Linked DNA regions of Elephas maximus indicus. The protein of the gene in region 1 interacts with the protein of each later gene in a biochemical or structural test. Links are inferred from orthologs where the notes say so. Each region holds a gene or a part of one and is shown on either strand. Other genes may lie near its edges. The genes, in order: LEF1 and TLE1.

Region 1 (15,009 bases):
GCCAAGAAAACATTTCAAAATGGCTGCACTTGTAAAGAAGAGTTAAAGGGAGGAACTTAGCTGACCAGGAAACTTGATCAGCACCCACTTCTAATCTGGGATATTTGGGGGCAAAATATGTTTATAGAAGCAAAAGGTGTCTCGTAAGTACCCCCCCAAAATGCTACAGAGCCCCTTCAACACTATTTGGAAAGGCTGAGTGTTGCTGCTATCAGGAGACAGCCAGAAGAGATGGAGCATCTCAGGAGGGATCTGCGCCCCGGGCAGCCTTGGGCCACAGTGAATGGGCAGGAGGAGACAGAAGCACTGGAAGCCACCTCCACCCCTACTTTCATCATTTTGTATACAGGTCACATTGATGAGTTTATATTGGGAGGTTGAACCCAAGAAAAGACTCCACTGGTGGTGTTACCTTAGGTTAGAAAGGATCCCACATGACGCACACATGGCTAAATGCCCTAAGTACTGCCATGTGGTGCTCCTTTCACTTCACAGCTAGCCGGAGCCATAATCTTTATTGCACTGTAAACTTAAGATGCCTCGAGCCTGAGATATGTAAACACATTCTGTTCTAAAACATGAGTTCTCCATTCAACTGGTGAATGGATAAACAAACTATGGTACGTACACACAATGGAACACTACACAACGATAAAGAACAATGATGAATCCGGGAAACATCTCACAACATGGATGAATCTGGGGGGCATTATCCCGAGTGAAATAAGTCAGTCACAAAAGGTCAAATATTGCATAAGACCACTATTATAAGAAATCAAGGAAAGGTTTACACACAGAAAAAAACATTCTTTGGTGGTTGGGGGGGTAGGGAGGGAACAGGAGGGGAAATCACTAACTAAATGGCAGACAAGTGTCAACTTTGGTGAAGGGAAAGACAACGCACAATATAAAGTCGGTACAACTGGGCCAAAACAAAAGCATACAAGTTTCCTAGACACATACAAACACTTTGAGGGACCAAGTAGCTGGGGCTGGGGGCTGGGGACCATAGTCTCTGGGGACATCTAGGCCAACTGGCATAACGTAGTGCATAAAGAAAATGTTCTACATCCCACTTTGGTGAGTAGCATCTGGGATCTTAAAAGCTTGTGAGCAGCCATCTAAGATACATTTATTGGTCCCATCCTGCCCAGAGCAAAGGAGAATGAAGAAAACCAGACACACGGAAAATATTAGCTAAAGGACTAAGGGACCACATGAACCAGAGACCCCACCAGCCTGAGCTCAGAAGAACTAGATGGTGCCTGGCTACCACCACCAACTGTTCTGACGGATCACAACAGAAAGTCCTGGACACAACGGGAGAAAAATGTAGAACACAATTCAAGTTCACGAAAAAAGACCAGACTTACTGGTCTGACAGAGACTGGAGGAATCCTCTAGACTATAGCCCCTGGACACTCTGCTAACTCAGAACTGAAACCACTCCCAAACCCCACTTTTCAGACAAAGCTTAGACAGACCTATAAAACAAAAAATAACACATGTTGCTTCTTGGTTCAATCAAATATATGAGACCAAATAGACAAGAACAGGACAAGAACCGGATGAATGGACACAGGGAACCTGAGGTGGAAAGGGAGAGTGTGCTGTCACATTGTGGGGATTGCAACCAATGCCACAAAGCAATACGTGCATAAATTTTTGAATGAAAAATTAATTTGAACTGTAAACTTTCACCTAAAGCATGATAAAATTTTAAAAATACATAAAACAATTTCTGATGGGATTTACACAGTCCCGAGAAACACCTCTTATATACCTTTACAGTCAGTTCCCACAAGTTCTTTTTGCTGTCATTGTTACTAGTATATTATCCACATATACATTATCCCTTTGACAGTCCATCATACTACTCAGGCTATTTTCAGTTCCATTGTGAGTCCTGTCACATGCCTCACACACACATAAAAATTCCATGTTTTTAAGTGTCTTTTTTTTTTTTTTCCATCCATGAATCTGTTAAAAGCTCACTATAAAAAACGAGGCAGAGTTAGAGCAAACTCCCTCTCACCTTGAAATGTTCCTTCTCCCTCAGCACTCACTCTCGGAAAAAATGCTGGGGTGTGATCTTGGTGGCCTTCATAACATTACTGTTAGAGATGTGGAGATGGCCACAGCAGTGGACGTTTCCGTGTGAAACCATCCCCATTTGCTCCTGTGGTAAGATTTTCTAGTACTTTAGAAGTATATCCGTTACTGTTTTGCAATTTACAGGTAAGTTCCTGGGTGGTGCAAGCGGAGTCAAGAGGCTGGAGGCGCCACTGAAGACAGGCATGGTGAAAAATCAGTCACTGGGAACCTTAGAGAGCCCAGCTCTACTCTGACACACACGGGGTCACCAGGAGTCGATTCTGACTCCAAGGGAACTGGTTGGGTTTTTGCTTGTTTGTTTTGTTTTTTATAATGATCATCTTCATTTCATGGACTAATAATACCTTAAATTTGTACATACTTTCACATGCATTATCTCACTGAATTCTTACAACAGTCTTGTCCAGTGGGCTATTATTACACCCATTTTTTGGAGTAAACTGAGTCTGGAAGAGGCTAAATAACTTGCCTGAGGTCACACATGGCTTGAAAGGGGATGGCAGATCCCACCTCACACTCAACATTTCTGACTTTTTGCATTACACTGCTTCAAAACTGTCTCTCTTTTTGGCTACCTCCAAAACAACAGAATACCAGTCAAGGGGTGTACTCAAGAAAGGATTTTACAGTTTTTTAACCACAAAGATACAAATTTTTGTGGCTAATTGGTGTAGGAAAAGATCTCTACAGTCTATAACAAGAAGGTTTCAAAATCAGAGACCAGCTGTGATAGTGAGTGCTTTGATTAAAAAAAAAAAAAATGATACCAACATTGGTTTTTCAGGATATCTGTGGAAAAAAATCATGCGGTCCACCGTCAGGAGCCTGAAAAACAAAAAGCACCACAGCACAATGGACATATGCACACGTGTTGTGTCAGTCTTCACTCCCCAAACGTGGCTGCAGAAGAAAGTGGGAAGCACGTTGAAATAAGACAATATTTATGGCTGAAGAAATTCGGCTTCACATAACGGTAATTATGAACAAGATCTTTTCCCTAATAAAATTACTGCAAAACAAAATCTGGAGAAACTAAGTGCTTCCCTATGTTCTTCTCATTTCATGTGCTCAAGGATGGTTGCAGGGAAAGCAAGAGAGCAGAGGGAGAGAGAAAGAGCCATAGCGAGAAGGCTTCTGCTGAGGGTTGGTTTTGCTTTACAAACTGGAATGTGTCCAGGCTTGATTTTTATTTTCAATTCACATTTCAGATCCAGCTCCCCAAACTCTTTGATCTTTCTCCCTGTCTCCTTACCCGGAAGAGAACCCTTGGCCTTCTCAGCTGGGAGCTGGGAGCACACGTGGAAAGACTGGCTCGGCTCCATATCCTTGCCAAATTTAGTCACACAAAGGGGCCTGCGAGGGAAAAAAGAAAGGATGAAAGCGGCAGCCGCCCCGACTTCAAAGGCTGCGCCGCCGCGCCCGGCCCTGCTCAGGAGCCGCCCTCTGCCGATATAAGGCGCAGCTTGCGCGCGGGCGGCCTGTCCGCGCCGCAGATCCAGTGCGCGCCCCCGGCCCGTGGGGAGGGCTACTTGGGAGACCACCGAGGACCGGGTGTGGAGGGAGGGGAAGTAGGGGAGTGCCGCCTCCTCTGTGTTAGCTGCCAACTTCCAGAGGTCGGTCCCCACGCCAAGTTCAAGCGCCTAAGAAAGTTTGCAGAAAGGAGGAAAATGATAATTTCACGTAGGGTCCACTAGGCCAGGCGTCTCGTGGCCCGCAAATATATTGCAGCTCCCTCCTCCATTCCAGTTCCATTCCAGGAAATCCCCTTAGAGACGTAACGCCGGTCCCCATGCACTGTTTGTAACTACCGCAAGCACCATCCTAGGAGCTCCGGTTCCTGCTGGGGGCTAGTGGATGTTCCCGTCGCGGAACCGACTCTCGAGGGCGCATTACTGGGCTCTTTCTGACCGATTCCTCTGCGCTCTCCCCCAGCCTCGCCTTCCGTTGTTCCTGCCCACGGCCACCCGGGCTTGAATCTTCTTCCACCTGGCAGACTCGGGCCGTGGGCTCTGGCCTCCGTGTTGGCAAAGGATCGGCCGGCAGAGCCCACAGAGTGGAGTGAGATGTGGTTCTCCCTCGCGGCCGTGGGAGGACCCGGCCCTTCGACGGTCGCGCCTCGGGGCCCTCCCGCGCCGAGCTCTCCCCGCACCCGCAGGAGCGCGAAGGAAGCCCACGGAGGGCGCAAGGGACGGGCGGTTGCAAACACTTCGCAGGCGGGCCCCGCTCGCTCCACCCGCGCGAGGCTGCACCGAGCTGCGGACGCCAACGGGCGCCGGCCTTGCGGAAGCCTGGCGGTCGCAGGCGGCCGGATTTGGGAACGACATTTCACGGTCCCACGAGTTCTGTTTCCCCGGCGGGTGAGGGTTTGAGTTTGTTTGTCTTTGGAGTAGGCAAGGGGCGGAAGAGCCCCTGGGACACAAACTGCCGTTTCCCTCGCCCCCCCCCCCCCCTTTTCTCTCTTCTCGCGAAGTCCGTTAATCTGAAGATGCCCACAGCTTGTCTCCTGGTGAATCTGGGGTTAGGGAACAGAGGGTGCCCGAGTTCGGCCTCTGGAATCACGTTATTCGTTCTTCTAGTCCTGCTCCCTCGCTTCTCTCTTTCGGAGCATCCTCTTCCGTAGGATCCCACCACCTCCATCCTTTGGGATCCCACCAAAGCTGGGTCTGGGAGAGATTCCAGCCCACACAAAAGGGACGACCCGGAGCAGGGGCGGAGGGTTAGGACCGAGGGGGTGGAGAGGACTCTGAAGACACCGCGCTTTTCTTTCCTCCCTGTAATTAAGGACTCACTTGAGTGTCTTGTAGCAGAATCCACTGACTTGGCAGCAAAAGCGCCGGGGGAGGGGGGGGTCTTTTGGTGTGGGTGTGGGTCATTACCCTTGTTCCTCTGCCTCCCAGTGGGGGCTGGGCCCCGGTTACTCTGTGGGCAGCGAGGCTTGTCTTCGCCCCCTCCCCCTCTGTCCCGGAGCCGGGTGGGAGCCCCATCCCCTGGCCCCACGCGCAGCGCCTGCTACGGCGCCCAGTGCAGAAGGAAGTGTTGATATAAAACAAGTCGCTGTTCGCTCCCAAACTAAACCCACACAAACCAACCAAAGCCACCAGGAGGGGAAAAACCAACAGCAATCCAGCCAGCCCCTAGCAATTGTTTCACGGTCGGAATTAAATCACATCAAAACGCCCCCTGAAACCCACATCCTGGAGGAGTGAACCTGCAACAGCCAACCTCCAGTCGTTTGCTCGAGTTCACACGAACAACCTGCCTCTACATCCGAGGGGAGGGAGTGGGTGTTTATCCCGCGCCGCACCCACCACATCCCGGCCCTAGGATCCCACTCGCGGCACCGGAGGAGGCGGCTGAATATGCTAACAGCAGCCCCCACTTGAATTAGAAGAGGCTACCCGGCGACAGAAATGCCCTTGACAGGGACTACACCACACCTGGAGAGAGAGGGAACGTCTTCCTAAGGTTACCGTGCCCCCCCCCCCCCGCAACGCCCCGCTTTTTGCCCTAAAAGAAACACTTTACGTGGCAATGCCAACTCGCTCCCAGACAAATCTTTAAAATTTTTGGGTCCCTGGTATCTATTAAAGACTAAGTGCCTCCCATAAGAAGATTTGCAACAACGCTAAAAACCATCAGGCAACACCAACGCACGCCGCGGGGAGGACAAACGGTCACACCAATAAGCAGGGCGTTGGGTTATTTCGTTAGAAACAATGTTTCCAAAGGAGGAGGTTACAGCAAAATAACAAACTGGCCACCAACTCTTGGCCCCTCTGGTAAACAATTCCCATTAGTTATTGTTCCAAAAATTCCCATCCTCTTTAGCTCCTAATCTCCAAGACACCTGGAGCTGAGCTCCAAAAGACTTTGAGAGTCCAGACAATTAACATTAAGGAGAAAATGGGATTCGAATTAATTGCAACACTTAAACGGGAGTGGGGGGGATGTCCCAAAACCCAGCGACGCTGGGCTTCTAGAAATCTTTCCTGGGCTTCTAGAAAATACCTTCTGGCCATTCTGTGTGATGCTCACACCTCCTCGCTCCCTCCACCCAATCCTGGACAGTTTGATGCTAAGGAAGGTCTACTCTGCCTGCTCTGCTGAAATTGTATTTTCCAGTCCTCTTCCTATAGGTGAATTGGCGCAATTGTGGGAGGACTTTTGACTTTGTTTTCCCATATTTCTTTTAGAGCAGAGGGCATACATGTCTGACATAGCTACGTGTTCACATCTCTGGGGAGCACTGTACTCACAGTGATGCATAACTTTAAGAGAAGCTGCATACTGCCACCACCCAAAAGAACAAAAATTGGGTTTCTTTCCACCCTTTTTAGTATTGCCTTACAGACACGCTGTTAGCTGAATATTCTTTTTGTTTTTCTCCTTTAAGGCATAGTATTACTAGCTATTTAAAGGAGATTTAGTGTTTTATTCTTCCTGGCTCCCATCACCAGCCCCTTAATTTTACTCTAATCCCCCAGGTAGAATTTACATGTTCTATGGGACCGAGTGAAGTCTTTAAAAGGTACAGTTTTAAATATTGCTTCCATAGTAAAATCCCACCCCCACGAGTAGTTACCAGTAGATGAAGTTTTAAGTGCTCATTTAAAGTATTGTATATAGTGTCCAGCCTACAATGTCCCATTAAGAAAAGAAGGGTCTTTGCAGGGTCATTCCTATGTAATAAAGCTAAAGTCTGATTTCGTAGTGTGTCCCTCATTTTCAATTCAAGAGAGATGGAGACATTTCTTCCTGCCCCCTGTTTACTGTTCCGAGGTTTTACAGATGGCTACTGTATTGGCTATAATAATTTTGCCTGGATTTTTAACTGAGGGTTTGAGAGCCAAGGGACAAAATGTAATGTGTTTTCAAACTTCAGCTTCCCTTATACTGTAACTTTCACAAAGCATCTCCTTAAAAGTCCTGTACTTGTACAAAATGCGTCAAAGAGACGGTGGAGGCTGAAGAATTTTTGAGGTTGGATTCGGATTTGAATCTTCAAGCGTCCCTTTGAGCACGCAGTACAAGGTGCCAGGGACTGCCCAGTCCTCCCTCCTTCTTCTCTTGGATTCGCTCTCCTGGGTCCTTTTGCCTTCTCTTTCCCTTCCCGTTTGGCTTGTCTTTTCATTCTCTATGAGGTTCACACACACTGCGGTGTATATCTTCGAAAACCCCACGAGCGATCTAGCGTAACTCCGTATATCCCGTGGCGAAGACATAATGAAAGAGATATTGTTTTAAAAGCGATAATTAAGATCCAGTCTTCTTTGCTTCTTCCTCGTCTTATTTTTCTCGGTAAGCCTGAAGATTTTATTTTCGCTGACGTCTCCTCCCTTGTCTCCAAATAGCGTATGTGTGATAAACCACAACTCTTTTTCCTTGCTTCTTGCTTCCGTTCTCCCTTATTAGTTGAGGAAGGTCTGTTATATTTCCCCCTTTCCTTCTCTCTGTCCCCGCTTCCCCCCTCATCTCCCCTGTCAGAGCATCTATCAACGTGGTGTCGATCACAGCGGCGGCGGCTTCTCTTTCATCTTCCTCCCCCGGCCAGTGAGAGGGAGGGAGTGAGGGAGGCGGAAAGGAGGTGGGGGAGAAACTGCCAGAGGAAGAGGAATGGGGGGGTGGGGGGAGAAGGACAAGGGATGAGATGCTTAGATGATGAAGTTAAGCCAGTCGCGCAGAGTTTGTCAGTTGCACGCAGACAAAGCGAGTGTCTCCGTGGGTTACAAGCAGCGCCCGTTCCTTCCTTTCTTCAAGTTGCCTGACCATCCGTCCAGACACACACACATACACACACACACACACACACATACACACACCCCCCAAAACTAGGACTAGTCCTACAGGCTCTGGGAAAAGAAAAGGGGGGAAAAAAAAGCCTTCAATCACCACCTCCTTCTCGCACCTCCCCCCCCCCCTTCCGAGCCGGCAGCCAAGAAGAGCTGGAGGCGGGGGGGAGGGGAGGGGGAGGAGAAGCGACGCAAGTGTGTAGCTTTTCAGCGCCGGCGTGGCGCGGGAGGAGGAGAAGCGGTGGGGAGGCGCAGCCGCTCACCTGCGGGGCAGGGCGCGGAGGAGGAACTCGGACTGCGCGCTCTGGAGTCGGGGAGTCCGGACGTTCCCGGAGCCCCGCACGCGACCAATCTCGGGACCTCCTTTACCCCTCGGCCGAGGGAACCCGAGGAGCGCAGCTATTTGCTTTGACAGAGCGGGCCTCGCGGAGGCGTGGAGAGCGGCGAGAGAGAGAGTCTACGAGCCAGGCTGAGAAACTCGAGCCGGGAACAAAGAGGGGTCTGGCTGTGTGTGCGTCGACTCGAACTCTGGGCAGAAGCATTTGGGACCGAGACCCCTGCTGTGACTCCCGAGACCCCGCCGCTCCCTCCACTGTCTTGTCCCAGCGCTCGGCGGCACAAACTTTATTCTTGGCAAAGTTCTTCTCTTTCTCTTCCACTCCTACTCCGCCCCCGCCTTCTTCTCCTCCTCCTCCAGCAGATTAAATGCGCCTCGAGAAGGAAAACTGAGTCGAAAGGGAAGGAAATAAGCTCTAAAACGGACACCTCCAACCCTGGTTGCTCTTTTTTTTTTTTTTTTTTTAACCCCTCCAGGAAGTGGACATTGCGTTAACTTCTGATTCTCCTTGCGCCTTCTCCGCTAGGGTGAACCGAGTCTTTTTGTCCAACTCCCCTTTTCTCGGAAAACACACTCCCACATCGGCATCTCTGGAAGATACGGTGGAGAGGTTTGCGCCACGACGCGCTGACGGACCCTCCTTTGCATTTTCGCGAGTCTATCCCTGGGCAGAACCAGCGTGCTCCGCGCGCAGACCCCGGCGACGCGGGGGGTGTGGGGTGGCCGCCCAGGCCCGGGCAGCATAGCCTAGCGCGCGCGCGGCTCAGACGCCCCCAGAGGCGCCGGCCGCGGCTGCCTTCTTAGCTCCGTGCCCTTCGGCCTCGGGGGCGGGCGCCGGCGTCGGTCTCCGCAGAGCGGGAAGGCGCGGGCGGCCGCCGGAGCTCCAGCGCCGCCGCAGCTGCTCCGGCTGCCGGCTGGCGGCCCCGCACTTGCCGGCTCCGCTTCCGCTCGCTCTCCTCTCTCACGCACCCTTCCAACTCTCCTTTCCCTCCCTCCCTCCTTTTCGTTGACCGCCTCTCTTTGCTGCTGTCGCCGCGGGTGCTCCTCAAGCCGAGCGGAGATTACACAGCCGTCGGGATGCCCCAGCTCTCCGGGGGAGGCGGTGGCGGCGGGGGGGACCCGGAACTCTGCGCCACGGACGAGATGATCCCCTTTAAGGACGAGGGCGACCCCCAGAAGGAGAAGATCTTCGCCGAGATCAGTCACCCCGAAGAGGAAGGCGACTTAGCCGACATCAAGTCTTCCTTGGTCAATGAATCCGAAATCATCCCAGCCAGCAACGGACACGAGGTGAGCGGGCGGCTGTCCCAAAACCCCGAGAAGCGCGGCTGGGTCCTGGGGAAGAGGAGAAGAAGGAAGGGGGAGAAGGCGTGGGATAGTCCCGTCTGACGGGGCTGCAGTAGCGCCAGCGTTTAAACTTTTAGGGGGATGGTGGCCCTTAGTCTACATTCCCCTTTTGTCGTGTCGGGGGCGTGCAGGGCAGCTTACACCAAGTGGATCAGTTTAGGGGTTCGGTGGGTGAGCCGTTGTCTTGCGGGCAGGAAAAGCTGCCCTTAACCTATAACGTTTCACCTCCGGACATTTTGGTGCGGTTGAGGGAGTGTGATGAATTAGAGCGAGAGTGTCTGAACAGCACTGCTGAAAAGTTCTTCCATAGGACGGAAAACAAAGTGCACCCGCTATCTTTTTCGGTAGATGTCTCTGCAGAAGTGCGTTAAACCACCAAAAGGCTTAGGTGGAGACCGGCAGAGCGAGAGGAAGGGGGGCGGGAGTGGGCCGGGGGCAGGCGGGCAGTCCCAACCGCCGCCGAGCGGCCCGCAGAGGGGCGCGCGGGGGCGGTGCGGGGCCAGGTCCTTGCCGCCCCAGAGTCCCAAGGGCCAGATGCGCTGTGGGATCTGTGGGCAAGACCAGCCGAGCCACCCCAGGGGGACGTCGTCTTACCGCCCGCACACTCTATTTCTCCAACTCCAGTTACTCAAAAAAAAAAAAAGCATTTATATTTGAGGTTAGTTTGGGCCCGGATCAGGCCTGAAATCTTTGCAGAAGAAAGGCGAGTCTTGGAAGAGATGCGCCGGAAGCCGGGGCACCTCTCAGGGGAGGGTGGAAGGCGCTTTATCAGATCTCCTGGCCCGGTGGGGGCGATAGCGCTGGTAACCCGAGTAGAGTAAATAGAGACACGTGGGTGCCGACAAGAGAAAGCCGGGAGCAGGCCAGCGTCGGAGGGCTATTTCGGGCGGCGCGGAGACTTTTCGATGGGGGTGGAGGCGGATGGACCCTGATACCTGACACTCAATTGGCCACCCTTAATTCAACAACTGAGAAACCTTTGGAGGAAATCCGGTAGAAGAGTCTTGACACCCAAATGATTTCACCAACGCTTTTTCCCTCCAAAGAAACTTGGAGGGTATACCCTTTTTCCTTAAATGGCATCCTTCTGCCCCAAAAAAGAAAGCTTGTGGTTTTGGGGGCGGGGAAATTTGGGGTTTTAAACAACACGTTTAAGAACACCTCAGAGTTAAGCTCTCTATCCAAATGGCAGGGGTGAGTACACATTTTGGAAGGCTGGGGGCCCGGGTTCTGAGGAGGGCACAGGGCACAAGAATGTTCTTTATCCCATGAATCTTTTATCGCAATATGCCAGTTTGAGGAGAGTTCAGGGTGACGGAGGTGCACCCAACTCCACTTTAAACGTTTGTGGCTATATATGTATTGGGGAGAGGAGGTCCCTGAAAGGACATGTGTGAGAGGGACCACCTAACGTCCGAAACACTCAGACGCTTTTTGCCAAACTCTCATATTTAAAGAGAAGCCCCCCTTTTTTCTTTCTACTCATTTTCCATGACCTTCCTTAGTCCCTACATAAATTTTGCCACCCGCTTCAAATTTTTGTACACTTCTCTCGTCTGGGAAGAAAGACTGCGTTTGAAGCGAGTACCAGGGTAATAGGGTTTTGCTAATCTTTGCCACGGTGGCGAGGGGGCATAGGGCAGCCCTACGGTAAAGGAAGATGGTGAAGGGGTAATACCACTGATTTGCACGTGGTTGAGTCTGGGTGGATGGTGGTTACCAGAACTGATAGGTAACTGGGCTGCCTTTTAGATGTCTGTAACCTGACTGTCTAATTTTCCTCCCTATAACCGCAAAATAGTTGTACTTTTCTCTTGTAAGCATGCATGCAGCCAGCCATGGTAGATACGGAGCTGGAGTGGAGCTCCTGCAGGACTTTGATGAGGCCAGCGGCATTAGAACCTCATGTATGAGTGGTTGCCTTGCTTATGTTTAAAATGTCACTTTGAGTTGCAAAGTGTTTCAGCATGCTTTTAATCAGCTCTGACCGAAGCAAACAGAGGCTGAAGAGGCTATCAGGACACTCACCCCATTAACTCAAACACCTATCATGTTAGGCCTCCAAGTAGCCTTGATGTGTTTTAGGAAACAGAACAGTATGTGGATGATTCCCAAATTTACTATATTGCTAGTATTTTGTTATTATTATACATTACAATTCTGAGTAGATGATAAAAAAAAAAAAAAAAGATGATAGTCACTCCAAAATACAAGCTGAATAAAAGAGGGAAAAGATTTCCTACTATTCAACCCTAGCCTGCCCTTCTTGGATTAATAACACAGGCGGATTGGGTTGCCCCTAAACCACCTCCTCTGAGTAACCAGTGGGCACACCGTTATATTATTATTGTCAAAAACTCTAAGGTGCTTTTCTTTCTTTTGGGGGTGGGGATTCATGCTGTTAGGTGGCCAGACAAGCTCAAACCTCTCAGGAGTCCTACCATGACAAGGCCAGAGAACACCCTGATGAAGGTAAGACACTGATGATAGATTCTACTTCTTCAAACTTTATAATTTAACATAAACCGTTTGTGTTTATAGATGCTTGGCTACTTTTATTTGAGTTCAAGAAACCCAAACCAGATGTGATAAGACTGTGTTGACTGTTTTCACAAAATTGGGAAGAAAACCCAGGAAAGTTACGGCTTATCTCTAATGTATATTTGTATCATTTAAAAAATGTCTTTGAGTGAGTTAGCAGCTTTTGGATTTCAGTTGGTTTCCAGATTCTTTGGGGGAAGGAAACGTCTATAATGAATTTTTCTCTTTTCTTCATTTTACCTTAATTTTGAAATAGCTTAGATCTTTAGTATTTTTTTTCTGTGTATTATTATGAAGGATGACAGTCTGTTTTATTTTAAAACAAGAAGAGTTTTGAATGGCTTTTCATTTGCAAAATTGGTGTTTCTTGAGTCGTGTTATTGTGTGAGAAGGCAGCAGTGAATGCAGAAACTGCACAAGGCTTAGGAAAGCAGAACCTAACTTGAAAAATACAGTTTTATTCCTATAGTTAGGAATTAGGCATATCAAACATGATAACCAGACTGTCTCCCCATTTCTGATTCTTGCTCAAAACTTTTAAAATTACCTATTTTTGAGATTTAAGGTGAACTCCCTCTGACTTTGAAAGAGCCAGGCAATCTGTAGGATTTCCTTGTCCACTGGTCTGCATTTCTGTTCTCCTTTAATTACTTAAAATTGGCCTGACCAGAATGAAGTGTTCATACATACAGTATTTCAAAGAAGGGAAGAGAACTATAATAGCAGGCTTCCTTTTCAGCTACAAATGGTTACACAGATGAAAAAGAAGAAATCTATATACTGAACACACACAAATTACTTTGACAGAATGATGTAAGTGAAGCACATAAAAATCCTGTAGTTAATCCTTCATAAATTTGGGTAGTTGCCCAAATACTAGGGTACAACTCCCTCTTAGTAAAATAGTTCTCTTTCAGAAATCCAAAAGCCGAGGTAGAATTTTTCAGTTTGCCTGTGAGGTGAAATGTAATTGTGTGTGTGTGTGTGTGTGTGTGTGTGTGTAGGTAGACGGCCTAATGTATTTATATTATAGCCTTAGATTTGTGTATGTTCTTTCATGTGTCTTTATTTTTTAGTCCAGTTTGTTAGTATTAGAAGAAATTAAGTTAGATGGATAACACTTACTTTTGTAAAAACACCAGTCAATAGTGGAAGTAAATTGAACCACATGTTTTTAAAACATCTGGTTTGCTGCTAAACCATTTAAGAGAATAAATAGTGTCGATCTGCAATAGAACATGGTAATGCAGTTACGGTATTTTGTAAATCTTTTACGTATGGCCAGATTTTCTTAGAATTATCAGATTTTCAGATGAAAAACTACGGTGATATACAAAGGGACGGTACCATATCATTGATTGTTCTTTGGACTCTCCCAGGAAAGCATCCAGATGGAGGCCTCTACAACAAGGGACCCTCCTACTCGGGTTATTCCGGGTACATAATGATGCCAAACATGAATAACGACCCATACATGTCAAATGGATCTCTTTCTCCGCCCATCCCGAGAACAGTGAGTAACACCCTGATGTTGTAGAGTATTTCAGAGGTACAAATGAATTTGTATTTCGGCAGAATGTTTATCTTTTCAAACACATTGGAAATTCTTTCATTATTGTATATGACCAATCATTGCTTAATTAGGACCATTATGATGAATGGTTGCCTTGAAATAGTGCTACATTTGATGTCTTGCCCTTGGAATTTTAGCTGTTGGCTTATTGGTTAGGATTAATAAATAACAGATTATGAGTCATCGTGAAATCAAATGAAGTTAAATCAACAAATCCATGGTGTTGTGAGTATTGTACATTTTAGACTGATGAGAAGAAAAAGTTGATTTAATCTTGCTGTCAGCTAGGTATGGGATAGGTTTCACTGCCCATAAGCTGTCTAGAATCAGCTTTAGAGAAATAGTTGACGTAGGGTTTTAACATCACTTGTGGGGATGATCAGCTGTTTTTACTTTAAGTTGCTGAGAGTGTATCACTTGAAGATAACTCTAATGAAAATTATTCCTTTTTTTTAAATCTGGTAATTCAGTTAGCTTTCAAAGTTCTAAAAATATAAGTCATTAGAATTTCAGGTATGCTACTTGATGATATTTTCATTTCTTGGGAAGTGTAAATAATCTCTTACATGTTGTAAGAAAACATTTAAAGGGGAACTTGTGTAGTATGGGCAGTGTACTGGTGCTTGAGTTGTTCTCCCAAGGGCCTGAGAATTGTCCCTGCAGTGGTGGTGATGGATTTTTACTGATCCATCGATACATTTACCTTCTCTCTCTGCAGCCTCACTTTTCTTCTGCCACCCACCTGGGATCAAAACCACGTGTGGCTAGGTCTTGGGCATTAGGGTTTCAGTTTAACTGGCCCCCCTGGGTTCAAATCCAGGATCCTGAAATGAAACCAGTGATTTTTGCCTTGTTCTTGCCTTATTCGCTCAGTGTTGCCACCAGCGGAAATATCAGTCACAATATCTGAGGAAAGTGTTGTTGTTGATACCGTAGTGAATAGAATCTGGGAGGGAGAAGATGCTCTAAACTAGCGGACCATAATCAACAGTATCAACAAACAGGAGTACTTGTGGTTATCTTGATTATCCGTAGTTCTCAACTGTTGAAATGATAGCTATATGAAATATCATAACTGCTTTGCGTGGGCCCTGTGATTTAGAAGTTATTTTAATTATTTTTCTACAAATTTCAAGCAGATCTTTGACCTTTCAGGTGGAAAATAAGATTTTTGTAATTTTCATATTACAACTAAAGTTGAGCTGGGAGAACTTCATGATGATTTTAGAGGAGATGGGCATTTAACATTTTATTTCAAAAGGCTTTTCAAATATTTAATGTTAGAGATGTCTGTGTGGTACACATGA
Region 2 (15,474 bases), on another chromosome or scaffold:
CCCAACCAAACCCACTGCCGTCAAATTGATTCTGACTCATAGCGACCGTATAGGACACGGTAGAACTGCCCCACAGAGTTTCCAAGGAGCACCTGTTGGATTCGAACTGCCAACCTTTTGGTTAGCAGATGTAGCTCTTAACCACTACACCACCAGGTTTTCCTCAGGACATTTAGCCATCAAAAAATAGCTGTTGTGTGTTAGTCATTATTTGTTTTTGTAACTCTCCTGCCTCCAAATTGCATTTCTGCTTCCAAAAAGATATGTGCACTAGTGCTGTCTTTTCATGAGTGTGGAACATTGTATGAATGGGGGAGGGGGGCACCTCAAGGTCCGAGGCTCCTGTCTTTCCCTTACTGAAATCCATTCATGTCGTCCCTGAGAAATAGGATAAAGTACTCCTGGGCCCCAGAGTATTGTGCCACTATTGGACCAGCATTCCACAGAAAACACTTTTGGAATCCACGTTGCTATCTGATGCATCTATAGCAGGGACAATACTTCCTCAGCTCCCGGAGGCCTAGGGCAGGGTCTCTAACAGGCCGCAGGGAAAAAAGGGAAACGGACAACGTTCTTAAGGGCAAGGACTGTGCTAAATACTTTACAGGACTATGCTATCTCAGTCATCTCTTTCAGTTCAAGCAACCACCTTGAAAGATGGGTTGGTTACCTTCATTTTAGAGGTTAGGAAACTGAGGCCCAGAGAGCAAGTGGTTAGCCCAAGGCCATACAGTAAGTGGTTGCTGGGGTTTCCATTTCAGCCCCCTCTGTCTCTGAGATGTGTGTGTGTGGGGGGGGAGTGGGGAGTGGGATGAGGGAGTCAATGGGATGTGAGGGAGGCTGAGAGGGGAAACAGAATTGTGAGGCAGAAAAGGGCAGTTAGAAAAGGGGTGACAAAAGGATTATTCGGGAGATTCTCTGAAGAGTTTTGAACCTTACTGATTTGCAACTTGAGAGGGTAAATTCCTTGAAGGCAGGGATTGTGATTTCTTACTGCAAACAGTGTAAAGGCAAGAAAAATCTGCCTGACTGTTATTCAGCTGACCCTGGTCTTCAAGTCTGGCAAGTCCTAGGCTTCAGATTGCTTGTCACTGAAAAAGGGATGATAACAGTACTCACCTAATGGGAAAGATCTGAGGATCAAATGAGGTAATACAAACATGTAAAGCACATAGAACAGTGTCTGCCACACACAGCAAGTGCTCAGTAAACAAATAATGGAATACTTAAATATAAGAGATGCGTACGGTGAGAGAATCCACTGTAAAACTGGTACAGGGGAAAAAGAAGGAATCTTCCTAACTTTTTCATCTATGACTTCTTTTTTTTCTTCAAATTTTCAGTAATTAAAGATGTAAATAGGATGACACTCTCTCCTCTATCCTTCAGAGGCAAATAACTTCTCTTGAAACACCTACTGGGGTTACCTGAAGATACCTGTCTCTATAAAAAAGACCCAGTGCACTGGGGTTACCTGAAGATACCTGTCTCCATAGGAATGCTAATTTGAAAACCAGTTTCCTTCAGAAAGGTATTATTCCTTGAGGCAGGCAGTTTACATTCATCAACATTTCTCTAATACTTGTCAGTGTTTTGTAACACTTTTTCAAGTGCCAATTGTAGCTTGCCAGTTCTTCTGAAGTGTGGAGGCTGCTAATGGGGAAACCAAAACTCTGTTCCCTTGGGGCTTTTTCTGTCATGGTGAAGCAGAAGTTTTTTTAATCATTTTCATTTTAAATAATCATCAATTCTGTGGATGATGGCTAGAAATACTGGACGGACTGATTAGTCACTGGGGGTGAGATAATGCTGTTTTCCCTTTATTTTAGTACTTGCTTCCCTTTGAGGCACTCAGGTTTTTCCTTGGAAATTGTGGATTCAATCTGTTTACACACAAACTAGAATCTGCTTAACCAATGTCACAAAAAAATTCTCCCTTCAGTAAGCATAATGGTGATAAGAAAAACAAAACCATGCTAAATAGCTATGATTGAAGAAAAAAAATTTGATCTACAAGGCATCTGAACTTTCAACTCTCAGATTACACCTTATCACTTTTCATGACTTTTTGGGAAAACTACCTATTTATTTCTTGTTGTTGAGTTGGCTCCAGCTCACAGCTATCCCTACTCACAGTGACCCCGTGTACAAAAGAATGAAATATTGTCTGCTCCTGTTCCAAGGTCACCATCTTTGGTATACTCGAGTCCATTGTGGTTATTGCATATTTTGAATGCATTCCAACCTATAGGGAAACCCTGGTGGCGTAGTAGTTAGGTGCTACGGCTGCTAACCAAAGGGTCAGCAGTTCAAATCCACCAGGCGCTCCCTGGAAACTCTATGGGGCAGTTTTACTCTGTCCTAAAAAAAAAAAAAAATTTTTTTTTTTCTTTTTTTTTTTAAAGGGTTGCTATGAGTCGGAATAGACTCAATGGCACTGGGTTTGGTTTGGTTTTTTTGGTTCCAACCCAGGGGTAGTCATCTTCTAGTACTATATCAGAGAACAGTGATCCAGAGGGTTTTTGTTGGCTAATTTTCAGAAGTAGATCATCAGCCCTTTCTTCCTAGTCTGTTTTAGTCTGGAATCTCTGCTGAAACCTCTCCATCTGGAGTGACCCTGCTGGTATTTGAAATATTGGTGACATAGCCTCCAGCATCGTAGTAACACGTAAGCGACCACAGTACAAACTGACAGACAGGTGGTAGAGCCCTTTATTAGCACATGATAAACATATACCTCTGTGAATCTAAAGGACTCAACCTCAGTATCCAAGATTTAATGCTAAATTCATTTCTTTTTAAGGTTAATATTTAAAGCTTAGTACACAGAGCTATAATCTGTTTCAGCAATATATTTAAAACTAGGGACTTTAAAAAGCAAACTATATACCACTACTAAGCTCTAGTGATAAAAAGGCCAGTAAATAATGAAAATTAAGAAATTAAAATAAAATTTATTTGCTACTGTCTTATTCTTAACATGTAAGCAATTTTCCTCTTGATTTTATAGTAGATTTTCTGGTGATTCTGAGCTTGATGGCCCACAAAATGACACATTAGAGGATTGCTAATGTAATGCCCTAATTTATTTAAAGATTTCCATTTTATATTAATCGACAACTAATGGACATTTGAGACTGTGAGGGGGAGGGGAGGTGGGTGGTAGTGGATAGAAACAGACAAAAAACAAATAGCATAAATAATAAAAGAACTAAAAGATCCAGCGCTACAACTCTGTGTAGTACTTTGGTTATCAGTATGATAGCTTTCCATGACCAAGAAAATAAATAAATAAGATCACCATTTTTTAGTGCTTTTTTAACTAGAAACATTAGAGGCCATTCTTGTAACCATGAAGAGAATTCATCTAACATATGAAGGAAAAGGAAATCCTGGTGGCATAGTGGTTAAGTGCTATGGCTGCTAACAAAGAGGGTGGCAGTTCAAATCTGCCAGGTGCTCCTTGGAAACTCTAGGAGCTGTTCTACTCTGTTGTATAGGGTTGCTATGAGTTAGAATCAACTAGAGGGCAGTGGGTTTTTTTTGGGGGGGGGGGGGGAATGAAGGAAAAGATGGAGACGATGAGCCTAAAAGTTTTTTTCCGAAATCTCTTATCATGAAAAATTTCAAACATACAGAAAAGTTGAAAGAATAGCAAAACCAAGAGCTGAATACTCTACCCTGAAATTCTGTAACTATTAACATTTTGCCAAACTTGCTTTCTCTTTTCTCTCTCTCCACACACACACAGTTTATTTGCAGTTCAGACATCATTTGAATTGTATGCTTCAAATGCATCTTCTTAGGGTAAGAACATCCCCCAACATAAGCGCAATTATCTCACATCTAAAAAACCACTGTTTACCTGATATCCAGTCCACATTAAAACTGCCCCCAAGAAGGTCTTTCATAGTTTTGTCTTTAAACCAGGGGCCGCAAGATTTGCATGTTGCGTTTTCATTTTGTGTCTTTAGTCCTCCCCACTTTTTTTTAAGAGCCCAGGCCAGTTGTCTTGTGGAATGTCCCGCATTCTAAATTTAGGCCATTTAACTTGTTCACCTAGGCCTCAACCCTGCATTCTAGAAACTGTGACGGTTTCTGCAATCGCCACTTGCCTTCACAACCCCAAAGCTCCTCTGCCCTCCACTATGCAGAACACCAAGAGATCATCCATTAGGGTTGGAATCCACTAACAGTTAACAACAACAAAAACAAGTTTTAACCCTTTGAAGAAATTGCTAGCTTCAGGAAGAAATTCTATTTAAATGATACTGACACAGCAAAAGCTCTTGATATTCAAAGAAAGGCATCTCAGTGTAACACTGACTTTATAGAAAGTCCTCGGTCTGCAGCTTAGAATGATCCCTGTATTAAGGGACCAAGGTCTGCTCTTGTTATGCGAATATGCAGGAAGAGGCATCAAAGGTGCTTCCTTTAGCTACTTTTTCTTTTGTCTACCAAAAGGCCCTCAGCTCTTATCTGGCTGAATGCTAAACTAAAGGAATTAAAAAAAAAAGTTGTATTACCTCAACTCTGAAACATTAGAATGGGTTAAGGAGGGAGGGGGGACTGACTTCATTATTATGGTCTGAGCTCCAGGCAGGTATTTGCTGCTGCCCCCAAATACTGTCCTTGCTTTTCAAGGACATCCTGCTGGTGGGCTTGAAAAGCTCTGACAGAACTGTACACCGCTGAAACTATTTGAAAGAAAGTAATCCTGAATCTGTTTTATTCTAAATGCTAAATTTATCAGACTGCCTTTAACACAAAGGAGTGTGCCATACTTGTGCATAAAATGCAAACAGGCTTCTAAGGAGGCATTAAAAGGCAGAAGAACAGGCTACAATGGCATTCATATCTGCACTTTTATGATTGTTGATAAACACATGCTATTTTATTTTGGACTGATATCTCTCTAGAATATAGATTTAAATAAACACACGCTTGGTCCTGGGTGAGGTGGTGTTCTGCAGGCCACTGACACAGTCAGGAGTTTTAAAAGCATGATGGGCCAGCTAAGAAGTTTATCCCTCTGGTGCCTCAGATGCTCAGTTTATTTGAATGCAGAGTGAATGGCTAATCTCCTACAAGTTTTGGGGCTTAAACAAGGTAAACAAATGGGTGGGCTGTGAAAGTAAACACTTGATTTCCTCCCAGGCTCAGCTCTGTCTCCAAAATTCCTCTCCTTTACTCCTTTTACTATCCCAGCCTTCCTGCTCCCAAGCTTGGTCTCTCAGACCCTGTGAAAGTACTGAAATTGCAGAGGAGACATTTTTAATGATAAGTACTACAGTAATGAATTCAAGTACACTCATTTATCATAAAGGGCTCCCCATCTGTCTCTAAAGGATGCTTAAAAATGCTGTGTATTTGATAACATTAGCATCAAGCATCTTCCACGTGTTAATGTTCAGTGTTAGAGGTTCGTGCCCCCCACCCACAAAGACAGCCAGGCTGTGGTTTCAGAAAGAGCACACATATCTATCTCTGTGTTTGGAAGTGCCTGTGTGGTCTCTTGTCCTAATTTATTTGCACTCCAATCCTCAGGGGATCGCACTGCAATCCCCGTAGGGCAAAGGGAGATTAGGGGATGGGGCTGTCTGCCTCTTCCCACCCTCACAGAGAAGGGAAAAAAACTTCCCCCAAGTCCCACAAGTTCTCCTGGCCACTGTACAAATTGTTCTTGAGCGTGGAGCATTTCCAAAAGACCTAATTAGCAACTCACAGCAAACATTTCTTTGCATTAGCTAATGATCCGGCTACACTTGTAAGCAAACAGAACCAACATATCTAATCAATGCTGAAAAACCAACCCAATGCCTATTAAACATCTGGATGTAATTTTCTACTTAGAACAAAATGAAAACACATGCAGGTTCCTTTGATCTGCGTCTTAACAAAGAAATTGTTGATAAAAAAAAGCATACTGGCCAGTCAATGTGTCATTTTCATAAAGTCTACTCATTTCTCTTCAAATGCTCCCAGTTCAATTTAGTTTAGGTTTCCTGCAATCTCTAATTTTACCATATTGTGTGAAACCACAAGAGATTCTTTGGATGTAATTTTATTTGAGGTTTTACTGCTTCATGGATCTGCTACTGATTTTTTTTTTCCTTTTTTGCCTTCTTTCTCTCCTTCTTTTCCTCTCCCTTGTTCTTTGGCAAAGAAGCGGGGAGAAAAAGGTTAAAAAGCAATGCTGGGAAAAGTGCTTATGGATCCTATATCCTTGGGTTTAAAGGAAACTTCCAGTTTTAAAAAAAAAAAAGGTCAAATATATAAAACTATAACTCAGCTAAAAGGAAAAAGATAATGACAAAGGTGGCTTTTCAAAGACTGGCACATTATTTATTTCAAATAAAACAGTAATTTAAAAGAAGATGAATAATTTCTATGATCAAATACCCACAATTTTTCCTGTTGTGTTTAGCACCTAGACTATCACCTAGTTTTGATAACTGCTTATTATTTATACTATCGATATAAGGTCCCTGGGTGGCAAAAACAGTTTGCACTCAACTACTAACCCAAAGGCTGGAAGTGCAAACTCGCCTGGTGGCACCACAGAAGAAAGGCCTGGAGATCTGCTTTTGTAATAATTCCAGCTAAGGAAACCCTATGGAGCAGTTCTATTGTGTGACACACGGGGTTGCCATGAGTCGGAATCTACTGGACGGCAAAGGATTTGTACCTCTGTGTTTTTGTTTATGCTACTGGTGAGTTGAAATGTTTGATACTCAGCAGCAAATGAATGGAAATATACCCATATACGCATCTATGATAAAATAAACTATCTGACAATCTTTCTGTGTCCTCTGCGGAAAATGAAAAAGTATACCGTTTTTTTCAGAGACAATTTCCTGTGAAAGTGGCATACTTGACATTATTTCATGTAAAATCATCATCAACATATGAATATGCTAAAGGTAAAGAAGATTATGGTTAACAGACTTTAAATAAAACCCAACCCAGTGACAGAAGACCAAAATTACAGATTTCATGAGTAGAACTATTTTCTTTTAAACAGACTGTAGGCAATCTACACATATATTATTCATTTAAAACATAAGATTAAAGCTACTTGATTGTTTAAACACCATCATTTGTGATGCAGTTTGATGAGAGTTTTGTAGTATAATTATTTCAGCATGACAATCACGGAGAAAATACGACCTTGAAAAGAGGCAGAGCCTTCTCCCTCTCAAGGAGGATGCTCTGTGTGAGAAAGCCACCGAAAACCAAGCATTTTTAAGCTACAAATGAAGGTCTTCTAATTTTAAAATCATTGTTCTTTCTTTTCTCCAAAAACTCCGTTTTAAGTAAATCAGAAGGCCTGGTGTTTTAAACTCCACTGGTAAGAAAGCACTAGTCAAAAGAGAAATCACAATTTTTACCCACGGCAAACAGTGAGTGAATAGCTATGATAGAAAACATTTAAGGACAACATGTCAGAACTGATTCTGAGGGGTGTGTGGTGGCGAGAGACGAGAAGGAGCAATACTTCTTGCTCCGGTCCCAAAATACACTTTTAATTTCTTTCTGTATGCTTAATTACTGGGATGTCAGCAAGTTCAGGTAGGTAAAACTGGGTACCAGGGAGATGTGTCAGCTACCACAGTTGTCCCAGCGCCTACAGGCATTTTCGTGGCACGCAAGCACCTTCCATCCAGTCCTGGAGCTGATTACGAGATGAGCTGACCGGACACTGGCGGATATGGCACCACCATTAGGAGATGATTTCAAGGAACACAGGTTGCCACAGGACAAAGCTTCACTGCCCACGGATCCCATGATTTTAAAAAGTTCTGTCTGTGGAGCAAGTCTGCTCTTCTCGTCACCAAATTTAACCATTAAAGGAGAGGCAGTGTTCCCTTCTCTTTCATACTCCATGTTAACTGTTAGCTAAAGAATAATATAACCTTCTCCCTCACCCCACTTAAAAAGAGTGCTGCAAAGCTACACTGCTGAACTTGTTTAAGCTATGGCCTATGCAGGCTGCCTAAAATCACTTTTATTTTTTCATTTACAATTGGTATTTAGGACTGATGCAATTATGGCTAAATCAGTATCAGTATTTTAAAACAAACGAACCAGTGAAATGTATTATCTAAAATGATTGGCTATTTCAAGAAAAAAAGTCTCTGTATATTTTTGAATAAAATCTATTTGTGTTTAGGTATGTGCCTTCCCACAAGTCTCTTAAAAGTAAAAAAAAAAAAAAAAAAAGGGAACTTGGGGTTATTAATACCCCAAATTTGTTAGGTTGTTAGGTTCTAACATAAGATGAATGCTTGTCAAAGATGGGTGTTTCTCATGAAAGCAGTCATTATTACTTGGATAAAACAGCATTATTCACTCATGGATCATGTGGAAATAGCTTATCTGAATTGTCCGTTAAAAGTGGAAACGTGACAACATTGAAGGTTTTCTGCCGTGTGGTGTATTTAGAGAAATAGAGAAAAACTGGAGACTCTTAATATTAATTATACAACATGCTCTATTTATTTAAAAATCTCAAAATCCATTTGTTCTGTAAATCTTTAAAGTACAATTTAAAAAAAGGCTAGGAAAAAAAAAATCTGAAAATCCCTTTTTAACTCAAGTTTCATCTCCTAAGAATTTTAGCCATGTCATTTATTCAGCTCTTTCCATTTAGCTCCTTATACAGCTCAGCCCGGGTACCATCCAAACTATGGGGGTGGGGTGGGCGGGACAGGTTTTTCAGGTCTCAGTGTTGGTTTATTCCATTGTCTCCCTTTGTTCCCAGGAATTGGAAACAGACTCGTGGTCATGTTGCTGCAAGGCTCCTAAAACTCTCGCCGCCCCCACCCCCCCCAACACACACACATAGCGAAATCTGGACTTTTAAGGCAAGGAACCGAGATTTCGCGCCCCGGGCAGAGCATCGCATCTACGCCTGGGACACGCGTGCCTTACCCTGGCGGCACCTTGGGGATCCTTCCCGCCAAACGAAGGCAGGTGAACCTTTTTGCAAAGTATTTGAAATCCTCCAATAAGAATCAAATTCTACAACTTTGGGTGCAAAGCCGAGTGGGCATCATGCGGCTGGTGTACCTACGCCAGTCAAAGCTTTGCCCATTATGCATTTTCCCCCAACTGCACAGTTCACCCTTCCTCGCGCATCCGTGAAAAGGCAGCTTTCCGGAAAAAAATACAAAAAACAAACAAACCGCAAAAATATTTGAATGTGACCTTTCACTTTCAAAAGAATGGCATCAAACAAGGGGCCAGCACCGAAAGACGTGTTTGGCTTGAAATATCAAAGAGTTCCCCTCTTCCCCCTCATAAGAAGCTACGCAGTTAGTCTCTGAGTTACTGAGATCTGAGGATTTTCATTGAAGGAAAAAGTGAACAAGTGGCAGGATTTTTGCTAAGTGGAGCCCCCAGCTTCCGCGACTGCACGCTCGCCGGTCCCTCCCGCTCGCGCGCGCTCGCGCGCTCCCTCGCTGGCCCCACGTTACTTTGATTGACAGCCCGGCCTCGCGGCTCTCCTTCCCACCGACCTTCCCATCCTCAGTGCCAATCTCCGCGTCTCGCCGCTTCCTATTGGCTGGCTCCAGAGTCCCGCGGCTCCTTCAGGAACACTTCCTCACCAAGCCCGGGAGGACGCGGCTGGCGGAGGAGGAGCGGGGGTGGGGGGAGACAGGAGAGACGGCGGAGATGGAAGCGAGTGGGGCGGCAGAGAAGGGGAGACGCGGGCTGCCCGTCCGGCGCTGCGCTGCCATAGGCTCCGGGAAGTCTCGACGTCAGCACCCCACGTTGGGCGCGGCGCGCGCGATTGGCTGACGCTGGTCTCTCCGCGGCCCCTCCTCGCTCGGGCCCGCGTCCCCCGCCGGCTCCGCGCTCGCGCCCCCGCCCGCGCGGGGCTGGGCGGGGCCGGCGCTGGTTAGCTCCGGAGTGTGAAACCGCGTGTTAATGTAACCGGCGCGAGAGGCGCGGGCGGCGGCGGCGGCTGCAGGAGCAGCAGCGTCGGGTACCCCGCGCCCCCGAGCCGGCCGACTGCGCCACCCCCACCGAGCGGGACCAGCGCCACCACTCCTGATCTCCGCCGCCCCGCGGCGACCAAACCCCGCCAACTGCCGCCGCCGCGGCTACTCCGGGCTCGCCCGCGGAGTTTGCCCGCCGAAGAGGGAGGCCGAGCGGCGCGCACTCTTGCTTTTCTCCCCGCTATCTCGTTGATGTCATCCCCGGGGTCGTGAGAGAACTTTGCAGCCGGCCGGAGCGCCGTTTGCGGAGGCGCAAGCGAAGAGAAGGAAAGAAAGAGGATCGAAGAAGGGGCTCGGAGGAACGGTCCGGAGCAGCCGTGCGGAGCGACTACGAGCAGGGCGCGGCGCCCGGATGCGCCTGGGGCTCGAGGAGCAGCGGACGGCTGCGGGGCTGCTCTCCGCGGAGTAGCCCCGTCGGGCCGGGAGGGTTTGTGCAAGCGCAGAGAACACCGAGTGCCGGGCGCACGGGGCGTGCCGAGCCTCCTCCCGGCGCACCCTCCGCACTTTCCCCGCCTCGGCGTCATCCCGCGCTCCCCGGGCTGTGCTGAGGCTGCGGAGCGCAGGGCGCGGAGCCTCCACCGCGCCCCCGGCGTCGTTCCACGCCGCCTCTAGGCAGCTAGCAAGCGCCCGGCCAACGGCGTAGCCAGTGGTCGGCTACGATAGTCTCTGGGTTTGTTTGTGTGGGGTAAGCCGGGGCGCCACCTGCACCTCGCCCGCCGCCGCCGCCGCGGGGAAAATCCAGAGAGGAGACGGACCAGGAGAAAAGCAAAGAAAAGCCACACGCCTGGATTTGTTTGCCCAGGACGGGCGCCGCGCGCTCGGATCGCCGAGGGGAGCGCGGCCGAAGTCGCCGAGCCCCCACCTCCCCGCCCCGGCAGTCGAGGCCCGAGGGTTGGAACGTGGGCCCTGTGCCTACTCTTCGGGCGCCAGCGTCGCCGCGCAGGTTCTTGGAGCTGCCGGGCCTAGGGGGCCCGTGATGTGGCCCTGAGCGCTCCCGGGAGCCCGCACCGGCGGGAGCAGGAGCAGCCGCTGGCGCCGAGTGGCCGGTGCGCCCCGCCGAGCGCGCCTGCTTGCGTGGCCAGGGCGCCCCCCGCCCCCTGCGTGTCCCGCTTCTGCCTGCCTTCTCGGCTTAATTTTTCTCGGCGGGATTAAAGTTGGAAATTGAGCGGAGAATTCAGTTGCCCGGGAACAGAGCCGCGGCCGCCGCCAGAGCTATGTTCCCGCAGAGCCGGCACCCGGTGAGGCGCGGCCCGGTGGGTGGGGGGGACGTTGGGGCAGGTTTGTGGGTGCGTGAGGCACTGTTCCTTTGCCATAGGGAAATGGGTAGTTGTTACAACCTAGCGAACCCCTCCACGGATTTGAGGCTAGGGAGGTCCCGGGCCGCCTCCTCAGCGTGGGGAGTGGGCTGAAACTCTTGGCCTCCTTCCACTTGTCTAGACTGGGCAGAGGGGGCGCCCAGGGAGGCTGGGGTTTCTCTCCCGCAGCCACATCCTCCCCCCTTCTCCGAGTTCGGTTGGGGGCGCCCCCCTTTGTTTCTGGTCTCGCTTATTTACATGTCAATGCGGCCCCCGTTCCGGCGCCCCCGGAGGTGGCCCCGACGACTCTGGGAACGGGGAGCGTAAGGGAGTTGTTTTTTTCCTGCGGTTACGGGGGTCGTTATCGCCCCTGTGGGGAAGAGGGACCAGGCACGGCGACGACAATTTGACCCGGTCCGCCCCGGCCTCCGGGAGCCCCCCTTGCTCGGCCATGTGACCTGGGGGCGCTTACCGCCAACCTTCCCGAAGGCTGGAAGAGACTCTGAGCCTCTTTAGAAGCTGGGGGCCAGGGAAGTGTCCTCTTTTCTCTCTCCAAAGTGAGTCGTAAAGTGCAGTTCGGGTTTTCGTTTTGGGCCATTTTTAACTTTATTATTATTGTTGTTTTTATGCCCCACTCACTCCTTGTTCTTACTGACTGCTTTATCTGCCCGCACCCCTATCTCTCCGTCCCCCTCGATGCTCGCCCTCAGACGCCGCACCAGGCTGCAGGCCAGCCCTTCAAGTTCACGATCCCGGAGTCATTGGACCGGATCAAGGAGGAATTCCAGTTCCTGCAGGCACAGTATCACAGGTGCGTGTCCGGCCGCGCCGTGCGAGTGGTTGTCGAGGAGTCCATCTGCAACGTCCCGGTGCCCCTCGCCCAGCCCGGTGGCGGCTGCTGTACTTAGTACGTGCGTCCAGGCGGTGGCGTGTGGAGTCGAAGTTAAGACCTGTCATTCACGTTTCCCCCTTTCCTGGCTCTTCCCAGGCCGCCTCTTCTCTTGTCTCCTCCTGCTTCCATTGTTTCCCTTTTGCCCGTTTGCTGCTGTTCCAGGGAGTCCTTTTTCGTGCATTTAGGAGTTGCATGAGAACCGTCAATATTTGCACTTCATTTAGTTATTTTGCAACAGGCTGAGCTAAAACGTTGATTCAATCGATGCCTTAGCCCTGGAGTGTGGGTTCATGGAGGCAAAGCCAGTGTTGAAATAACTGCTTGTCATACTAGGGAATTGGATTGTCTGAGGCAAAGTCCACCGTGGAAGGCTAGATGCTTTTAGCTGTGTCCATCATTGGCGTTGATTGGGACTGGGTGGGGGAGGGGGTAGTGTGTAGGAGAAAGCTCTCTGCTTTGGCATCTTTCTAAATAGGTTTGGGCAGGACAGGAGATTGGAGTCACACTTTTATATCCATCTCAGCTTTAGTTTTCTCATCTAAGGATACCTGCCTTGAAATGATTTATAAGTGAAAACTGTAAAGTATCTGGCCCATGGTGGACTTTACAGAAACGTTAGTTCCTCCTCTTACTCTTATGAAGTCTTAGCTGGTTGGAGCTACGAAATAACTGTCATGACAGTTTTTATTTTTTGTGGTACATGGAAAAGGCACACAGATGAAGCTAAGTGGCTTGGGTGTAAATTTTCTGATTTTTTTTTTTTTCCAGGGGCTTTCTGATTATTGACCTTTTGTCTCCTCACAGATGATATCTCTAGAGCCTGAGGCATACCTGCTCACACCAAGTTTACTGAGCAGGGACAACTTCCACCCACTTCACTGCAGTAGCTACTTGACATATTTCGGCAGGCATTTCAAAACCAGAGGTTCTAAAAGACACCAACAATTATAGAAAAACTTTACAGGCTTTCAAACCTAGAGCCTGTTGTTTGAGTTGGCTAAGATGACACAGCCTATTTCTGAAAATGGTGCAAAGACTATATTGGTGGGATCAGGGAAACAGTGTGAGGCAGGAAAGTAGGAGTGAATAAATGGTCAGGAAGAAGAAATCAGTCTTCTGGGTAGGTCAGAGGTTTTGATGAGTTTTTCCATCTTGTCGCCTGTGACCAAGAAGAAAAAGAGTGGTAGCTGAGTGGGTAGTTTGTACTGTTTACCTTATTATTCCTTTTCCATACTAAATGCAAGGACAAAGCTTTTGGGTGTTTACCTAGATAGTTTATGGCTTTTCCAAATTGATCTGTGTTTTTACTTGGAGTGCAAATATGTGAGGCAGATGTTAAAACAAGTGACATAATGTTTACATTAAGTTGCCTGTTTTGTTTTCATAGCCTTAAATTGGAATGTGAGAAGCTGGCAAGTGAAAAGACAGAAATGCAGAGACACTATGTGATGGTAGGTATCAAAGTTTGGGCTTTTTTTTTTTTCATATAAATATTAGCAGATATGTGTTCTTAGCGTTACAAGAACGTGAGTTAATGAAATGCTTAATGCTTTTTTTTCTTTACAGTATTATGAAATGTCATATGGATTAAACATTGAAATGCACAAACAGGTAAGCTTTAGTTACGTACAAAGCTGAAATGAGAAATTAGTTCATTATGATTTTATACTGGCTTTGTCCTCAGTAGTGGGGGGTTTTGTAAGCCTTTTTTCTGCCTTGGTTTCCCTTCCTGTGAATTGGTGTAATATTCTGCAGCAAGGGTTATTTCTTGACAGTTATAGGATGTTTACATGACAAGGTGAGAGCTTAGGAAATATAAACTTGTCTGTTTATAGGCAGATAGGAATTGAGACTGTGAATTTACTTTTCAATCGGGATAGATTTATTCTCCTCTTGAAAGATCTGGGTATCCTTTAGAGTTGCTGAAGTTGAGAATAGCTGCTTTTGTGCTGGTTTTGGTTTCGAAAAGAAATATGGACCTGCGGGGGCGAGGAGGGTATTCAAAGAGTTTCTCTAATTGCCTGAAACAAGGTATGTGACTAACTCTGGAGTTCCCTTGGTGCTTTGGGACTGCATAAAGAGACACCCAGATTCGGTGGCTTATTAGCAAATGTCTTTTTGAAAAATGCCTCGGTTGATGCAGGTTTGGACAGGAAAAAAGCACCTCTTTATGGCCACAGCATATGTTGGGAGTTCCTTCAGTCCTAGTGGTTTTAAAAGCATGAAAAGATTAGTGACTGGAAAGCTTTAGCTATGACTATGAGTTTGCAAGTTCCCATAAAATTCACACTTATGGCTACTATAATGGTGTATAAAAAGAGTATTGAGCTGGAACAAGGCACTAAGGACCTCGTAAGAGAAGAAAAGCTAAATGATTGCTCAGCCCAAAGGACCCTTGATTGAGTAGTCATTGTCTGCCAAAGAAAGCATTAATGGCAGGGTGTAAGTATTCCGGAGATATGCTGACATTCACTTTTTCATCAAGACGCTGGTACAATAAGTCTTTTAGAAATCGATTGCCTCTTAAAAAAATTATCATCAGATGAAGTTGCACAGTTGGACACATTTCAAAGTGCAACAATACAATTCTTACTTGATGTATATGTGCTATTTCATCTGAAACCCTTGTTTCATTAAATTAAAGAGCATGGCTGACCGGCTGGGGCACAGTGGAGAAATTGATTAGTTCAGCCTTCAGATCTTCCTTATATTCAAAGAGTTTCATTAAGCAAGTGTGTTTCAGAGTTGAATTCTGCTTTTGTAGCTCTGCCCTCTTTGATTTTTAATTCATCGTAGATTTCATAATGTTATCTCATACAGTAGATGTGTTCTCAGATATGTATTTGGATGGAGATAGTTAAGGTCAGGGCCTTTTATCAGTAATATAATTGAGCTTTTTAAAAAGCCGATGTTACTCTGATTTGCAGAGTTGGTAACCGAGTTTGTGTTGGGTTTCGCCTTTGTTTTTGTGTGTTTGGATGGCTAGTGCCCTATTGAGGTAGTTGTAACTTGTTGATAATTGAGCTCGAAGATCTATGGCTAAGCTTCAGTCATTTAAATGAATTATGCAAATAAACTTGGCCTAGGAGTTTTAACTTGTCGCTTTTTTGTTAAAAAAAAATTAATCTGAAAGGTACTCTTTTGGTAGCAGATATACTGAAAGAATAAGAGGAAACTGAGCTTTCTCTTAAGCTCATAAACTCAAGAGGATTTAATAAGCTCCCTGACTAATTTACAAGGGAACACCACTCCTGTAATGTAGTATGTTGGTGCTGGATTTATG

Evidence for each region.
Region 2: the proteins of LEF1 (region 1) and TLE1 form a complex in vitro, tested with the Homo sapiens proteins (2 studies listed by BioGRID and IntAct, with this or other methods). The link is inferred for Elephas maximus indicus from reciprocal best matches to the Homo sapiens genes LEF1 and TLE1.

The regions. Positions count from the first base shown.
Region 1 is NC_064823.1:43,112,821-43,127,829, forward strand, and holds the start of LEF1 (lymphoid enhancer-binding factor 1), read left to right. Parts: upstream 1-8,107; 5' UTR 8,108-9,318; coding exon 9,319-9,531; intron 9,532-10,110; exon of another isoform or gene 10,111-10,773; coding exon of another isoform or gene 10,774-10,782; intron 10,783-11,993; coding exon 11,994-12,060; intron 12,061-13,508; coding exon 13,509-13,642; intron 13,643-15,009. UniProt on the Homo sapiens protein: Transcription factor that binds DNA in a sequence-specific manner. Participates in the Wnt signaling pathway. Activates transcription of target genes in the presence of CTNNB1 and EP300.
Region 2 is NC_064827.1:98,613,408-98,628,881, reverse strand, and holds the start of TLE1 (transducin-like enhancer protein 1), read left to right. Parts: upstream 1-9,857; 5' UTR 9,858-11,218; coding exon 11,219-11,242; intron 11,243-12,009; coding exon 12,010-12,110; intron 12,111-13,578; coding exon 13,579-13,642; intron 13,643-13,757; coding exon 13,758-13,802; intron 13,803-15,474. UniProt on the Homo sapiens protein: Transcriptional corepressor that binds to a number of transcription factors. Inhibits NF-kappa-B-regulated gene expression. Inhibits the transcriptional activation mediated by FOXA2, and by CTNNB1 and TCF family members in Wnt signaling.